Elephas maximus indicus: one gene and its partner. The protein of the gene in region 2 interacts with the protein of the main gene of each other region in a biochemical or structural test. Links are inferred from orthologs where the notes say so. Each region holds a gene or a part of one and is shown on either strand. Other genes may lie near its edges. The genes, in order: PDK1 and RPS6KB1.

Region 1 (8,163 bases), on a different chromosome or scaffold from region 2:
CCTTCTAGAGCAGAGGAAACTGAGGCTAGAGAGCAGTGTAATATACCCAGGTCACGCTAAGAAGTGACAAATCCATGACTTAAACTCAGGAGTTCCTGGGTGGTGCAAAGGGCTAATACACTCAGCTGCTAACCAAAAGGTTAGGTGTTTGAGTCCACCCAGAGGCATCCCAGAAGAAAGGCCAGGCAATCTACTTCAGAAAAATCAGTCATTGAAAATCCCATGGACCACAGGTTCTACTCCGACACACATGGGGTCACCGTGTGTCAGAGTTGACTTGATGGCAACTGGTAGAGTAAAAAAGCATTGGCTTTAAAGCTGAGTAAAGCCCACAATTCCATCGAAATTGCAAACACAAGATGGGACTCTTACCAGCTTTGTACTAATTGAACTGATGGCGTCCTGAGAAGATTATCTGGAAGGAGACTTATTTCTTTCATTATGTTTGCCAATCTAACAGGCAACTCTTGCCGCAGAAACATAAATGAGGTCTTTTCACAAGCATCCACAGATCCTGAAACCAAACATGGTAGGAAAAGCAGTAAGTCAAAACAGGCAGCTGAAGCCACAAGGCGGGCAGAAAGAAAGAGGAAGTTATCTGGCAGGGCCCGAGAGGCAGAATCATCATAATGATAGGGCACAGAATAGGAGGCAAAAGGTACCCATTGCTGGGGTGGAGGGGGAGGCAGGGAGAGAAGATAATAGCCCTTAGAGTTCTGAGGTATCCAGAAGAACCTTCCAAATTCTGGAATTCCAATGCCTCTACAGAGCAATTAAGACACTTTCCTGTTGCTTTTACTTCTTGAGCATCCTTAAAATATCTCCCTAACCATTGCAAGTCTGAGCAAGGCTCAGTCTAATTAACAGTAGAACATCAAAAAGCCTAGCCTATATAACCTGCTATCATTTTGAAAATCTGCTTCCTAACTCCAGGTTTATAAAAAGTGAATAAATGTCTAAGAAACCAGAAAATTTTGACATGTGCATAGGAAGATTCATTCATTTCCATATGGAACCCCTATATTAATCACCAAGGAGCCCCTCTATTGGCACAATGGTTAAATGCTCAACTGCTAACCAAAAGGTTGGCAGTTTGAATCCACCAGCAGGTCCACGAGAGAAAAGACCTGACTCCCAAAAAGGTTTAAAAAAAACAATTGCTGTCGAGTCAATTCTGGCTCATAGCTACCCTACAGGACAGAGTAGAACTGCCCCATAGGGTTTCCCAGGTTGTGGCACAGTGGTTAAGAGCTATGGCTCCTAACCAAAAGGTTGGCAGTTCAAATCCACTTGTCACTCTTTGGAAACCCTATGGGGCAATTCTACTCTGTCCTATAAGGTCCCTATGAGTGAGAATCCACTCGACATCAAACAACAAAATCACCACAAGCAGAGAGTAAAGGTAGAGGGCCTTTCAAGTAACAGAAAGCAAAAAACATCAAGGCCTATTCAGCAACCATTTTCAAGATTGTAGCTACCTAATCTCCAGCAGGTCTAATTCAATTGTCAGGTTCCTGCAGAGCAGACTGCCCTTTTCCATTCACATATCAGGATTCTAAGCAGAACATCTGTAGAGCGTCCTTGGGCAAGCAACTCCATTTAAAGTCAACTGAAAAGTCATATTCTTTCAATAATACACTTCAACTCACTAATTTAATTTTGCTCTTTCAGCAGGGGTACCCTTAGCAAAAACTAGATTGGAGATGGCAATTATGGTATTAAAGGAAAACATTTTCTTGTGGCAAGTGTAAACACATACTTGTGAACAAGGTCAAATTCACCCATTAAGCATACTAGTGCCATTTTAAAGTAAAAACAAAACAAAGGGCTTTGAGCTTAAAAAGCCTGCCACTGTAAACCAGTTTTAAGATAAAGGTGCCCTGGTGGCACAGTGGTTAAAGCACTCAGCTACTAACCAAAATATCCTGGATTCCGTCCACCATCCACTCTGAGGGAGAAAGATGTGGCAGTCTGCTTCCGTAAAGATTTACAGCCCCGGTAACCCTATGGGGCAATTCTGTTCTGTCCTACAGGGTCACTATGAGTCAGAATTGAGGCAATGGGTTGGTTTGTTTGTTTGTTAAGATAAAGTTGCCAGCCCTGCTAGTATCTTTCAAGCCCTCTAGTGATAGGTCAGTGACCTAACAGTACTCACAGTGCACAACTTTTTTCTACCCACGTTCATTGCCCCCAAAAGGAAAGTCAAACGTTAAATGCCTAAGTTTGCAGTTCCTTCCTCTATCTGTTGTATGTTTTCTAGAGAAAATAAGAAAGCGTCCATCTGAGCAGGGTCGCTTTCACAGGAGTGATATGTGGTAAACCCCACTGCATCTTGTACTCACGCACTTTACACGTGCTCAAGGCTTATTTATTGCTGATTAAATGAATCTGCTGTTCGTGGAAACACTCCTAAGACACTGTTGAAAAAAACATTTTATGAAACACAGGGCCAGTTATATAACCTGCATTCCCTATCATCACGCTAATTTTACGCAGTCACATATGCAAAACTGAGCATGTATGGTGCTCTGCAGATTTCGTACACGATTCCCGGGGTGTCCGTGCACTCGCCTCTCCCCGCAGCTCAGCTCTTCGGAAAAAGCCTGGCCCAGTACGCACATCTGTACACTTGCGCTGAAAGGCGGGAGGTCATTCCGCCTTTGGTCCTTCTGGTTTGTTTTTCAACGATACACAGTAAAAGCCACACACCCCCAGTTATTTACCCGGGCAGCAAGGGCCTGCACCTGAGCTTACGGCTCCGCGAGGGAGGAAGGAAGCGTCCAAGGTTCCGCTAGGGGAGAAAACGACAGAGGACGGGTGTGCCTAAGGCGAGAGGGGGTCAGGGGTGGCAGCTCCCCGCCCCCGGCGGCGCACAAAGGCCGGAGGCCCGGGCCGCACTCACCGAAGTCTAGGAACTGCTTCATGGAGAGTGGGGACGGCGAGAAGCGCGCATAGAAGTCCACTTGGCCCGGAACGCTGCTTTCGGCAGCAGGGCCAGAGCCCGAGTCCGAGGTGAGGCTGCGGCTGGCTCTGGGCCGGGAGGCGCGCAGCCCGGGTCCCGGCCCGGCCGAGGCGGCGCCCCGCAGCAGCCGCGCCAGCTGCATGCCGAGCCGGCTGGAGGAGCGGCAGTCCTGGGCGCCAGGTCGCGGCTCTGCAGCTCAGCCCCGCGCTACGTGAGGGACGTGGCGGGCTGCTGGGGTGGGGAGCGGCTGTCACCTCCGCGGCCACCGCCCCCTCGCCGGAGCCCAGCCCCCTGCCCCGCGGGGCGGGAACCAGTGAGCGAGGGAGGCGGGGAGATAGGCGGGGAGGGCGCGCGCAAGCACCGCCCCTGCGCCGAAGCCCGGCCCCCTGCCTGTGGGGCGGACTCCGTGAGCTAGGGAGGCAGGGAGGGCGCGCGCGAGGGCGGCCCGCTTCCCGGCCCGCGGCGGGTTCCTCCGGGCTGGGCCGGCCGCAGGGACCCGGCGCGCGTGAGGACTAAGGCCTGAGGCGGGAGCCTCGCCAGGTCCCTGGCCCCTCTCATTCGCCAGGCCGGAAGGCCTGCCTGTCGCCGTGGCGCTTGACTTACGGTGTTGTGCGCCCCTTCCCACGCCCTTTTGTAACAAATCCCACCTTCTTGCTGTCTCTGCCTTCCCAGCCGCAGCCAAAATGCTCGAGAAGAGAGCATCGCTCCCCTTTCACGCACCATTATCGCTGCTGCAAGCGCTACATTTTATAGGTGAAGAAACAGACCCAGAAAGCTTCAGGAGCCGACCCTTGCCAAACCATAGTATATAAGCACTGCGGGATGTGGCCCTAAGTAATATCACAGCGACTTCAGTGCTAGGAGATCAGCCCACCTGGAAGCTTTATCTGCAGGCATTCCTGGCATGGTCAGCAATGTGTTTAAAGGATCCCTCTTCTTTAACTGCCCTGCTCTTTTAACTAGCTAAGGGACACAGTCTGGCTCTCTACTTCTTCCAGGCAGGCCTCTAAATAGTGAACAAGACCTAAAAACCAAACCTGTTGGTGTCAAGTCGATTCTGACCCGTAGGGACCCTATAGGACAGAGTAGAACTGCCTCATAGAGTTTCCAAGGAGCGGCTGGTGGAATAGAACCACCGACCTTTTGTTTAGCAGCTGAGCTCTTAACCACTGTGCTGCCAGGGGTCCAAGTTGTGAACACAGGACAAGACAATTTCTAATATTGATTAGTCCCAAAGGCAGAGCTGCAAAGGCTACAGTCTATAGTGAAAACCACTTCTGTCCCTTCCATATGTCCTACATGCTGCTCCCCCCATGTACCCAGCCCCAGTGCTTTGGTAAGTCTTGTCTGTCGTTAGTTGCCTTTGAGTAGATTCCTACTCATGGCAACCCCATAAGCAAAGAGTACAACTGCTTCATAGGATTTTCAAGGCTGTGGCCTTTCGGAAGCAGTTGCCAGGCCTGTCTTCCAAGGCACCTCCGGGTAGGTTCAAACTGCCAACCTTTCAGCTAGTAGTCAAGCACTTAACCATTTGCTCTATCCAGGGATTTCCTTGTATGGCTCAGATGCAAAAAAATTACTTAATGGTGGGTGTGAAATTTATCAAATAAAGAATATATGTAAGCCCAGCAGTTACTGGTATAGGATAACAATTTTGTATGGTGGCCAGGTCTTGGGTTGTATAAAAATATTATGAGTAGAAAGAATGAAATTCTTTTTTAGGCTTCATTAGTCAGGCAAACTGTTTAGTTTGAAGGGGAAACACTGACCACTTGGAAACTAAAGTCTAGGTAGTTGCTGGGATGGGCTGCAAAAAGCACTTTGTAAACTGAAAAGTTTCCAACTGGAGGCGCTCATGTCAGACCAAGAATGATGGGGCCAAGGTGCCTTCTCAGGAAACAAAAGGTCAGGATGTAAACCATATAGGAAGAGTGTGTCAGGATGTAAACAATTTGTTCCTAGGAAGAATGTGTATAATCAAACTGGCTGGTGCCACTTACCCAGGTGGTAACCCACCCCTTCCTAGCCAAGTGGCCAACATTTACATTTTAAAGGAGTTCAAACCCAAGCTGATTTTATCAATCATTAACCCACTGCCTTTCCTTTGTTCTCTCTCTATATAGACCCCTCTCTCTGCTTGTACCTCAGAGCACTTGGTATTTTTATCTAGTGCTGCCCAGCTATAGCTGTTCTATTCCCCAATAAATGCTATGTACAGCATTATTCATCTCCTTCATCCTCTATTCGCATCTCTGCTACAGTCTACACATGTCAAGGTGCTCAGCTGAACAGTGACTTGGGTGGAAGTATGAAAGCCCAACAGAAAACTTGAGATTTATTTTAGTAAATCAGTTGTTTTATGAAGTATTTTTTCTTTTCTCCAAATATATTCACAGAGTTTCCACCCAATATGCAGAGAATGAGTAGATACATACGTGTATAGAATGGCATCAACTATTTGCTTCTTGGTCAAAGGCTTAGAGTCCAGAAGTTGGAGAGAACCATGGACAATTTTACTAAATGGATATATTATTTAACTATGTAGATATAAAGTATAATCATATTCTAAGGCTTGTTAAATCAAATAATATTAAGCCAATAATATAAATTGATTTGAAGCTTACACCTACCCCTCACTTATTATCTCGTTATCCAGCATTTCACATTCATAACACTAGTAATAAATCTACTATCCAACTATTTTACATGTTAACGACATACGTTTGGCAGTAACAAATGCTGAGGTGTTAGGTAAGAGTAACCCTGGCTGTGATGGTTAAGGTTATGTATCACCTTGGCTGGGCTATGATTCTCAGTGGTTTAGCAGTTTTGCGATGATGTAATTTGACAGCTCTGGTGGCGAAGTGGTTAAAGCAATTGGCTGTTAACTGAAAGGTTGGCGACTCGAAACCATGAGCAGCTCTGCAGAAGAAAGATGTGACAGTCTGCTTCTGTAGGGATGTATATAATCCTATGTAGTCCCTCTGGCAGCATGCTTGTCTTTTTCTATTCTTGCTTCTTGTTCTTGTTAGGTGCCGTCTAGTCGGTTCTGACTCATAGCAATCCTATGCACAGCAGAACGAAATGCTGCCTGGTCCTGAGCCATCCTTAAAATCGTCATTATGCCTGAGCCCATTGTTGCAGCCACTGTGTCAATCCACCTCATTGAGGGTCTTCCTCTTTTTCGCTGACCCTGTATTTTACCAAGCATGATGTCCTTCCCCAGGGACAGATCCCTCCTGACAACATGTCCAAAGTATGTAAGACACAGTCTTGCCATCCTTGCTTCTAAGGAGCATTCTTGCTTATTCTGTAATATTTCCTTGGACTCGGGCAGCATGCTTGTCCACTTCCCACTTTTGCCTTTTTGAATATATATTGAATAAAACTTTCTTTTTCCTTTACTAAACTTACTGATGTTTTTTCCCTACGACACACCCCAACTCCCCCAACCCCAGAAATCTGGATTTCAGGAGAATTAAAAACTCTGTTTCTCAGGCTCTATAAAGGCGTCTTTATATAGCATACTTGAGCCAGACCTCTAAATTCACTGAGAATTCATGATCCATGTTGGGCCGGTCTGACCAAAAAAAGTAAGAAAAGCAATGGAGAACAAGCTAGTGTTAAAAATAATCGAAACTCAACAGAATTTGAACATAAAGTTTATCCTGAGCAGTTATTCAATATGCGTATAGGAGGACCAGAGCCCCAGTGGTGCAGTGGTCAAGAGCTATGGCTGCTAACCAAAAGGTCAGCAGTTGAAATCCACCAGCCACCCCTTGGAAACCCTATGGGGCAGCTCTACTCTGTCCTAAAGGGTCGCTATGAGTCGGACTTGACTTGACGACAAGAGGTTTGGCTTTGGTTTTATAGAGAGACAATTTTGATTCCAGAAAAAGCAAACGGCTTAAAGTACAATGAGGCTTATAAATAGAATAGGAGAGAGAAAAAAATACATAGCAGATCAACCATTTGCTAATCTTAACGTGACTGGTTGAACCCTGCCCTCCTCCTTTTACTGAGATCAGTTGGTATGGTTCACAAGATAGTCTCTGCCCTTCCACCCACCCATGTCTTTTGAAATTCAAGTTTAGTAAGCCTGGCTTCTTTGAACAGGAAAGAAGGATTTGCAACTCTGGGTAAAAGAAAGGCTGCTGGCAAATTAACTTTGGTCAGGAATTTCTTTAAAGTGAATATTTGGTTTTGTGAGTAAAAACCAAAAACCTAGTGCCATCGAGTCGATTCCGACTCATAGCGACCCTATAGGACAGAGTAGAACTGCCCCGTAGAGTTTCCAAGGAGTGCCTGGCAGATTTGAACTGCCGACCCTTGGGTTAGCAGCTGTAGCACTTAACCACTACGCCACGAGGGTTTCCTTTGTGAGAAAGAAAACCTCAAAATCAAAGCAAGATACCTGCTATCAGTTCCTCTCTTTAACACTAGATACAGCAAGGAGTCTATGCTAGCTGTGCTGGCTGCTCTCTATTTGCCCCTCTAGATACTGTTGTAGGAAAAAAAAATCACAAAGTTTAGTAAAACAAAAAAGAAAGTTCTATTCAACATATATTCAAAAAGGCAAAAGTGGGAAGGGAACAAGCATGCTGCCAGAGCTAATGTCTGCCCAAATCCAAGTAAGGTCACAGAATAAGCAGAAGTGGGAGGACAGACTAGCATGCTGCCAGAGCCACATCTGCCCCAATGTTACAGAATCATCAGCATATATTAACATCACAAGTTGGTAAAATCATTGAACATTTCCCTTTTCACCGATTCGCTAAAAACTGCTAGATCAACGTGATTCTACATTTTGAATCATCTTTCTTAATTTACAGGTTTCAGTAATGACAGTCAGGAGGGTCTTCACTGGTCCAACAAATTTTCTATTCACTAAATGCTAATAGAAAAAGATAAGAATGGAAGTCTTTTGTGTTCTGTTTGATTGGTTTTTGTGAAAGTTTCACTAAAAGATATTTTCCAAGATTGTCCTAGCTATTGTCTTTGTATCTCAGGGCCCAGTTGATGTTTCCTTGTGAGTCCTTGTGAATCCAGCTCTAGCTGGGTCACATTCTCTATGCTGAAGGAGAGAATAATGACTCCAATGTTATTTCCTAAATCAGTACATTCTCTTCTCTTCTTTGCCCGAGTCTGTGCCCCAGGAGGTTGGATGGTGTCACTCTGTGTGCTCACCCTCTGGCTTCATG
Region 2 (7,262 bases):
GAGTAAGTGGGCTGGAACACGCTTCCCAGCTGATGTGCGAGGACGTGATTTAGATTGCTAAAGGAGACCTGTCTGAGACCCATCAGTTTTGCACAGATCTTATGGACAGCATCATTCTCATGAACAAGGAGGGCATCCGAAGATTGGTACAAGTGAGAGAGAGTCAAAATGGAGTTGTAGTTCTGAACAATAACCTAGAAAGAAAAACATCAGAAATAAGAAAGGCAGGAGTGAAGAGTGGTTAAGAGCGTAGATTCTGAAGCCATCCTGCCTGCGTTCACATTCCTGGCTCTGTCACTTTCTAGCTGTTGGTATGATTTTGGACAAGATATTTAACCTCTGAATGCCTCAGTTTCCTCATTTGTTTAAAAACAAACAAACCCATTGCCATTAAGTTGATTCCAACTCATGATGACCCTGAGTTACAGGTAAGACAGGGACAATAATTACACTGGTCTCCGAGAGTTAGAAAGATTAATGATATAATGGAAGTAAAGAACTTAGGAATAGTGCCTTGTACATAATAAGGGCTTAGTAAATGTTGGCTATTATCACACTTCCTTCCTACATCATTTCCTATAGTGAGTTATCTCACCTCCAGTTTACTGATTCTCCTACTAGGCTGACCAACACGAAATTGGCCTATATACAAACTTCTTCCCCATGGAAAAAAAAAAAAACTATTTGAAGGTTGGCAATGGCACCATGAACCCCAATATGAGGTCAAGGTCTGTCCTGCTTTACATACTGTAGCCAGAGGGACTAACTCAGAGTTGGGTTCCTGAGAGGGCATACACAATCATCTTTTTTTGAAATTTTAAAAAACGTGGACACCTAGTTTGTTTGGAAAAGTTTAAGTTAAGTGAATTGTACTCAAGAAAGTATCATGTTGCATAATCACTCCTGAAGCTGTAACTTAACATGTCCAAAGAAAGAGTGAGAATCAATTTCCTACCCACATTTATTTCAACTGGAAAGAATGCAAAATATAAAAATTTCAATTAATACGTTCATACCTCACCGGTTCCATAAGGCCATATAACCTGATTCATTTTAAAAGAGTTTGGGTACTGATCTTGTAAATCCCGGGTAACAAAGGCTCCTAGCCCTGATCCCGTGCCCCCGGCCATACTCATTATGATGAAAAAACCACTCAAAGAGTCACATTTCTCCACTTCCTTCTGAATTAGGTTCATTATAGATTCTTCATGCCTGGGTCCATGAACAGAGTAACTATGCAATGCAAAAGAGACAAACATAAACCCTTTTAAAATTGACCACAGAGATGCAATGCAGAGATAGACACAGGACAGAGCGAGCTTTTCAAAGCTGCGCAAGTGAACTAATTCTCACGAAAGATACAAGTACTCTGACTGGCAGAATTTAAAATACAAAAATATATTTAACAGGTGAATATGACTGCTAGGAGAGGGCACTGACTAGGTACAGGAAATTCTCTTTTATGGGACATTCATTTACCAGGAGCCTTCAATGACCAAGTAGTTCTGTGTAAGTTTCTGGTACAACATAATATCTGATACTCATAACAATAGTCCTAAAGCAGTGGTTTCAAACTTTGCTGCACATTAAAATCACCTGGGGACCTTTGAAAAATCCCAATACCTGGACTTTATCCCAAGCCAATTAAATCAAAATCTCTTGGAGCGAGTCCTAGGCATTGAGACTTTCCAAAGATCCCCAGGAAATTCTAATGTGCAGCAAAGTGCTGGAACTACTGCTTTGTAATATTCTTGCCCAATAAACCAGAATACTCGCCAGATACAGATAATATACTGACAGTAAGTCAGCTGGCAGCACGACAATGAAGAAGGTGGAAAACCTTGGGGCAAGAGATCCTTCATCATTACCTGTACCTGAAGCACAGACACAGAGACTGAATGAGAGTTTCTTCTGGGTGAATTCAAACTTTAAAGTAGCAATTACAAGATTGTTTGCTAGTACAATCTAGAGTATATCAACTCTACAATTGTAACTACATTGTCTATTAATCAACAATGTATCTGTAACTAAACTGCAAAATATGTGGAATTATTCTTACCCATATGCCCAGTTGTTTCCAGAACCTTGTCTTTGACAGAAGCATGCATGCTGACCATATTTCCATCGGCCAGACCGGGCAGCCTTTGATAGTGTTTGATTGATAACTTTAGGTTCCATGTCAACAAGTACAGCCCGGGCAACTAGAACTAGCAAGGGAAAAAAATCGAAAGAAAAAATATTTCAAGGAGGAAATTTTATAGTAGTTAGTGTTGTCAAATCCAGCAGAGAAGTTAAGTGAATTAAGAAAAGAAAAACAGCCATTGAATCTGGTAATTAGGAAACTTTTTCTTAGAGTAGCTTCAGAAGTGGTGAGGGCAGAGCAAGATTGCACTGGGTTAAGGAGGGCTCTCCATTGAGAATCTTGGATAAGAAGGCAAGAAATTAAGAAAGAAGAAAACTTTAGTCAAGGGATTTTTTTTGTCTTGCTTTGTTTTAGACTGGTGAGATCTGAGCGCGCTCATGTGCTGAAGGAAAGATGCCACTGGGAGGCAAAAATTGTCAATAATAGAAACAGATGGGAGAGAGCAAACATAGGTCCCTAGAGAGATGGGGGAGGGATGGGGTTCAGACACCAAGTGGAGGGCTTGGCCTTGAAAAGGCTGGCTACCTCAGACTAAAGGAAAGAACCATGGGCCACACATACCTCCATTTTCCTCCTCACTGAAGAACCTTTCTTTGCAAGACGCTTGATACGCCTCATTCTCCTTCTTGGAGCAGAGTCCCTGGGAACAGTATGAGTCACTAAATAAAGTATCAAACACTTCAAAACCAATCTGATTGCCACACTGACCAAGTTGCACTGTTACTATTGACATGCTGAGCCACAAAGTCCCACCAAAAAAGTGAGCAACCTGTAATAGAAAAATATAGACTTTGAGAACTATTATATTACTAAAAGAACAAATAAAATGCCACATATTAATTACATCTTGATTAAAAAATATAATTTAAAAATGCCATATATGTACAGGGTTGCAGATGAAATTGTTATGTTGTCTAAGGTGCCAGTCATTCAGGAAGTTCTCCTTTTCTTTATGGTTTTGCGATTTGTGATTTACTATACTCAAATACATTCATACACAGCTTCCACAATCTGATTCATACTATTTTCTTCAGCATGCATTTAAGACAAAGCAAAAAGAATGCTGATTGACGGGATTACGTAGTAATACACAGTTCACACCACGTGGACACATAGAACACAGAATTTCTCTCTGCAATCACGCATTTAATTAACAGTAATTTTCCCTCTTCTAAATAATGACTTTCTCTCCCTTCACCAACCTCCTTTCTGGCTTGATAACTACAATTACACTTTGTGACCTCTTGGTTAGCAGCCCAACTCTTAACCACAACGTTCCCTGGGCTCCTTAGCTCCAGTACAGGAAGAAAGCCGGAGCTCGGAGAAAGCAGACCAGATGAAATATTAGAACTGGTTTTCATTATGTTTAATAAACAAAACAGACAATTTTTGATAAAGACCTCACACCAGGTCTATGCAGCAGTGGAAATGAGCCACGGTTTGTGAGCCAGGTTCTGTGCTTCAGATTTTCAAACAATCCTACAAACCAAACCAAACAAAACACACCAAAATCCTACAAAGCAGGCATTATTATCCGCTTTTTACGGATAAGGAAACTGAGGGTCTGGAAAGTTTTGTGATTTCCCAAGACCACCAGACTAGTAAAGAGCAAAACCAAGACTCTCCCTTTCCCCACCGGCCCCAGGAACCCCTCATTAAAATAAACTCACTCACTGACAGCCCCGGTACTAGTCGCTTCTGTCTTCTTCAAACTTCAGAGGGCCAATCCTCTCGTTATGCGCATGCTCGCCTTCAACACTAAACACTGCCAAGAACGAATGCGCATGTTCCACAGACTGAGCGTTTTGGGGGTAAGTGGGGTGGTGGGTGCGTGTGTGTGTTTCTTCTTATTCAGAAAGGTTAATTACGCATGTTTAATTTCAATTTATCAACATCAGATATGGTACGCATGCTCGCTGTCCATCAAAAGCTTGAGCTGACAATGCGCATGATCTAGCCTCCAACCGAGGCTTCGGCTGGCATTCTGCGCATGTCTCTCCCAGGACCTTGATCCTGGCAATAATTCTACGCATGTCCACTGCCCACAGTTCGGCTTCATGGGACCCAGTACGCATGCTCTAGCGCTGAACTTGAGGAGCCAGTCTACGGCCTAGGCGCAGTCGCACTAAGCCTAAGCGGCCGGTGATGGCGGCAGCGGCGGCAGTGGTTGCGGCGGGTCCGGGCCCATGAGGCGACGACGGAGGCGGGACGGCTTTTACCCAGCGCCGGACGTCCGAGACAGGGAAGCTGAGGACATGGCAGGAGTGTTTGACATAGACCTGGACCAGCCAGAGGACGCGGGCTCTGAGGATGAGCTGGAGGAGGGGGTGAGGCCCGGGGTCCCGGGGGGCCCGAGGTGACAGGGCTGGGGCGGCGGCTAGGGCCCGGGAAGCCAGGCGTGTCTGAGAGCGCGGAGACCCAGGGGGGCGCGAGTAGTCTTCGGGAAGGGCTGGGAGGCGCCCCGCGCGGCGGAGGTGGCCCTAGGTGTGAGGCCGCTGCGGGGCTCGCAGGTGCAGGTCACTCCCCCAGCTCCAGATCAGCGCTGTCCCGAGCAGTCTGTTTGTGGAGGGAACGAGGAAGGATGCGTGATCAGTTCCTCGAGCTGTGGCACTTGTGTGTGGTGGGACGCGGGTGGTGTGAGCGTGTGTTGGGGGGAGGGAGGCTGGCTTGTTAGGTGTCCCGTAAAGTGCAGGCGAAGTGCGGAAGGGTTTCCCTTCAAGTGTAAAATTTCAGGTATTAAATCCTCAGATCTCCCACAACTACCTCTCTTCTCGGCCTGTCGCTTCTCTCCTAGGAAGCGCTCAGCTGTTAGAAGTGACAGCTGAAAACTTCTGTCGGGAGTAGCGCTGCCGCTGCTGTTACAGCCACCAGGAGTTTTATTTCTGGAGCAAGGGGGCTCAGCTGCATCTTCCAGGGTTTGTTTGTTTGCTTTTTTTTTTTAACCCCCTTCCGTGTGATTTTTTATAAAAGCATTTGTAACGACACACGGCATTTGTAATTAACTTTTCTTCTAGATGAAGATGTCTCTCTTTTTCGAAATATATTTATGTAATTTTGGGGTGGAAAAAACCCACTGTTGACAGCTGTGATTTGGCTTGCCAAAAATAAATTGCTTGAATTGAGACTTGTGAATGGTGGTGTGAGGGCTTTCCTTGCTGTAATTTAGGATGCTGAATTTAGAATTTTTTTTCTAATGCATAGCTTGGTTTTACCTTTAACAGTTTGTTATTTATGAAAGATCATTCTTTCTTCAAGATGAATTTGTTGAAAAATCACAAATTGCACCTGATGTTCAAAAATGATGTTGTCATACTAAATCACTTATCCTGGGCTAATGGCATCAGCATAACCTCAGTGTAATTTAGGTTCTAAATTCCACTGTCTAATGAGTACATGGGTTAATGACTCGTGTCATACGTTTGCTCTAACTACATAAGGGGCTCCCCTTTTCTTTCCCCACGTACAATTTTCCTGCTATGGCAATAAATTGCACCCTGCTTGTTAAAAGATTTCAATGCTACATATATAAAGAACTTAAGCAACTAAGTGGGCTAAAATAATAATAACTATTCTTTTCATGATCAAATGAGTCTAAATCAAAATCACACAGTTTAGAATGTGGATAAGAGGTATGTGCTTTTTAAACTGCTATGTCTGAGTATGGGATTCCGTTACTCTCTTAAATGAACACCATGGTACACTAAATAACAATTTGAAACAAATAGGGGATTACTTTCTTAATACAGGTAATTCTGCATCTTTTTATGTTTTTTTCTGCTCCAACTTCCATTACATGCACCATACTGTCATCAGTTATAGTATTTCCATATGGCAATGATTTTGGGCCAGGGTAGGGAGAAAACGAGATAGGAAGGGTGCTTTATATTTTTGTGAGTTAAAATGATATAATTTCCAAACTATGAGTTTATCCTCCTTTGAAAATACACCACTATATTAAGACACTTGTTATGAACTGGGACCCCCTTGGTATGTGCTTCAGAAACAGTGTGTAGTCCAGTTTTGACCTTCTCCTGGGCTTTTGTTTTGCTTCCTACAAGCAAAGTAGGATTTTGAGAGGATGTGGTGGAGATGGCCTGAGAAATTGGTAGATACAGGAAAGAGCAAGAAGTGTGGTAACTACCTGGGAAGAGGATAGAGCCAACCAAACCAGTTGCCATGGAGTCCACTTTGAGTAAACTCAGACTTGTGGTGACTCTATGCGTGTCGGAGTAGAACTGTGCTCCATAGGGTTTTCAGTGGCTGACTCTTTGGAAGTACCATGTTTTTATGCAGATAACATGTGCCTTCTATGTTTGTTTGCCAAGCACTCCCTCCCCCCACAAGATATTTTCATAAGAGCCTCTATGCTGATTTTTTAAACATGTTTCTGTAAAAAATTAGCATAGCACACTTATGAAAATAACCTGGGTCAGGGGGGAAGTGGTTGGGAAACAAACTACAAGGTGCATGTTATTTGCATAAGAGTATGGCAGGTCACCAGCCATTTCTTCTGAGGCATCTTTGGATAGTCTGAAAACTCCAGCCTTTTGGTTAGCAGCAGAGCTTGTTAACCATTTGCACCACCCCGGGGCTTTGAGGAATAACCTTAAGTAAAATACGTCTTACTTATCAATGCTTTGGGAGTTGAAATTGTTTCTTTTGGGTGTGTTATTCTAAGAGGTGCCTCAAGGTAGACAAAGTTGGGGTGGGATTGGGGTGGCAACCCAAGGAGAATTGCTTACGTCCAGGTTACTCGAAATAAAAAAAAAAATTCTGAAGAATAATAAAAGTTTAGTTTCTAGGAAAATGTAATATTTTCCAGCCATTTATGTAATAGCTATTAGTTTATTACACAGACTTTTTTAACAATGTGTATCAGAGTAACCTAATCTCTTGATTTTATAGTAAGGAAACTGAGGCATAGGTCAGAGAGATGATTCCCCAAGATCACATAGCTAGTGGTAGTGTCTTCTGACTCAGTTCAGCAAGCTTCATTGCACAACTTCACTTTATTTACCAGTCTTGATCATAATGTGCATCTTTGTGGTGTGGCAGAAGTGAGTTAAAAATCACTTCTACTACCCTCCCTATGTGACTTAAAATAAGTTGCTTAACCTCA

Evidence for each region.
Region 1: the proteins of RPS6KB1 (region 2) and PDK1 form a complex in vitro, tested with the Homo sapiens proteins (2 studies listed by BioGRID and IntAct, with this or other methods). The link is inferred for Elephas maximus indicus from reciprocal best matches to the Homo sapiens genes RPS6KB1 and PDK1.

The regions. Positions count from the first base shown.
Region 1 is NC_064824.1:70,684,788-70,692,950, reverse strand, and holds the start of PDK1 (pyruvate dehydrogenase (acetyl-transferring) kinase isozyme 1, mitochondrial), read right to left. Parts: upstream 3,200-8,163; 5' UTR 3,105-3,199; coding exon 2,903-3,104; intron 515-2,902; coding exon 373-514; intron 1-372. UniProt on the Homo sapiens protein: Kinase that plays a key role in regulation of glucose and fatty acid metabolism and homeostasis via phosphorylation of the pyruvate dehydrogenase subunits PDHA1 and PDHA2.
Region 2 is NC_064837.1:34,232,811-34,240,072, reverse strand, and holds the start of RPS6KB1 (ribosomal protein S6 kinase beta-1), read left to right. Parts: upstream 1-4,224; 5' UTR 4,225-4,329; coding exon 4,330-4,470; intron 4,471-4,954; exon of another isoform or gene 4,955-5,058; intron 5,059-7,262. Other genes in the region: TUBD1 (tubulin delta chain), read right to left, coding at 1-194, 1,017-1,233, 2,060-2,207, 2,705-2,876. UniProt on the Homo sapiens protein: Serine/threonine-protein kinase that acts downstream of mTOR signaling in response to growth factors and nutrients to promote cell proliferation, cell growth and cell cycle progression.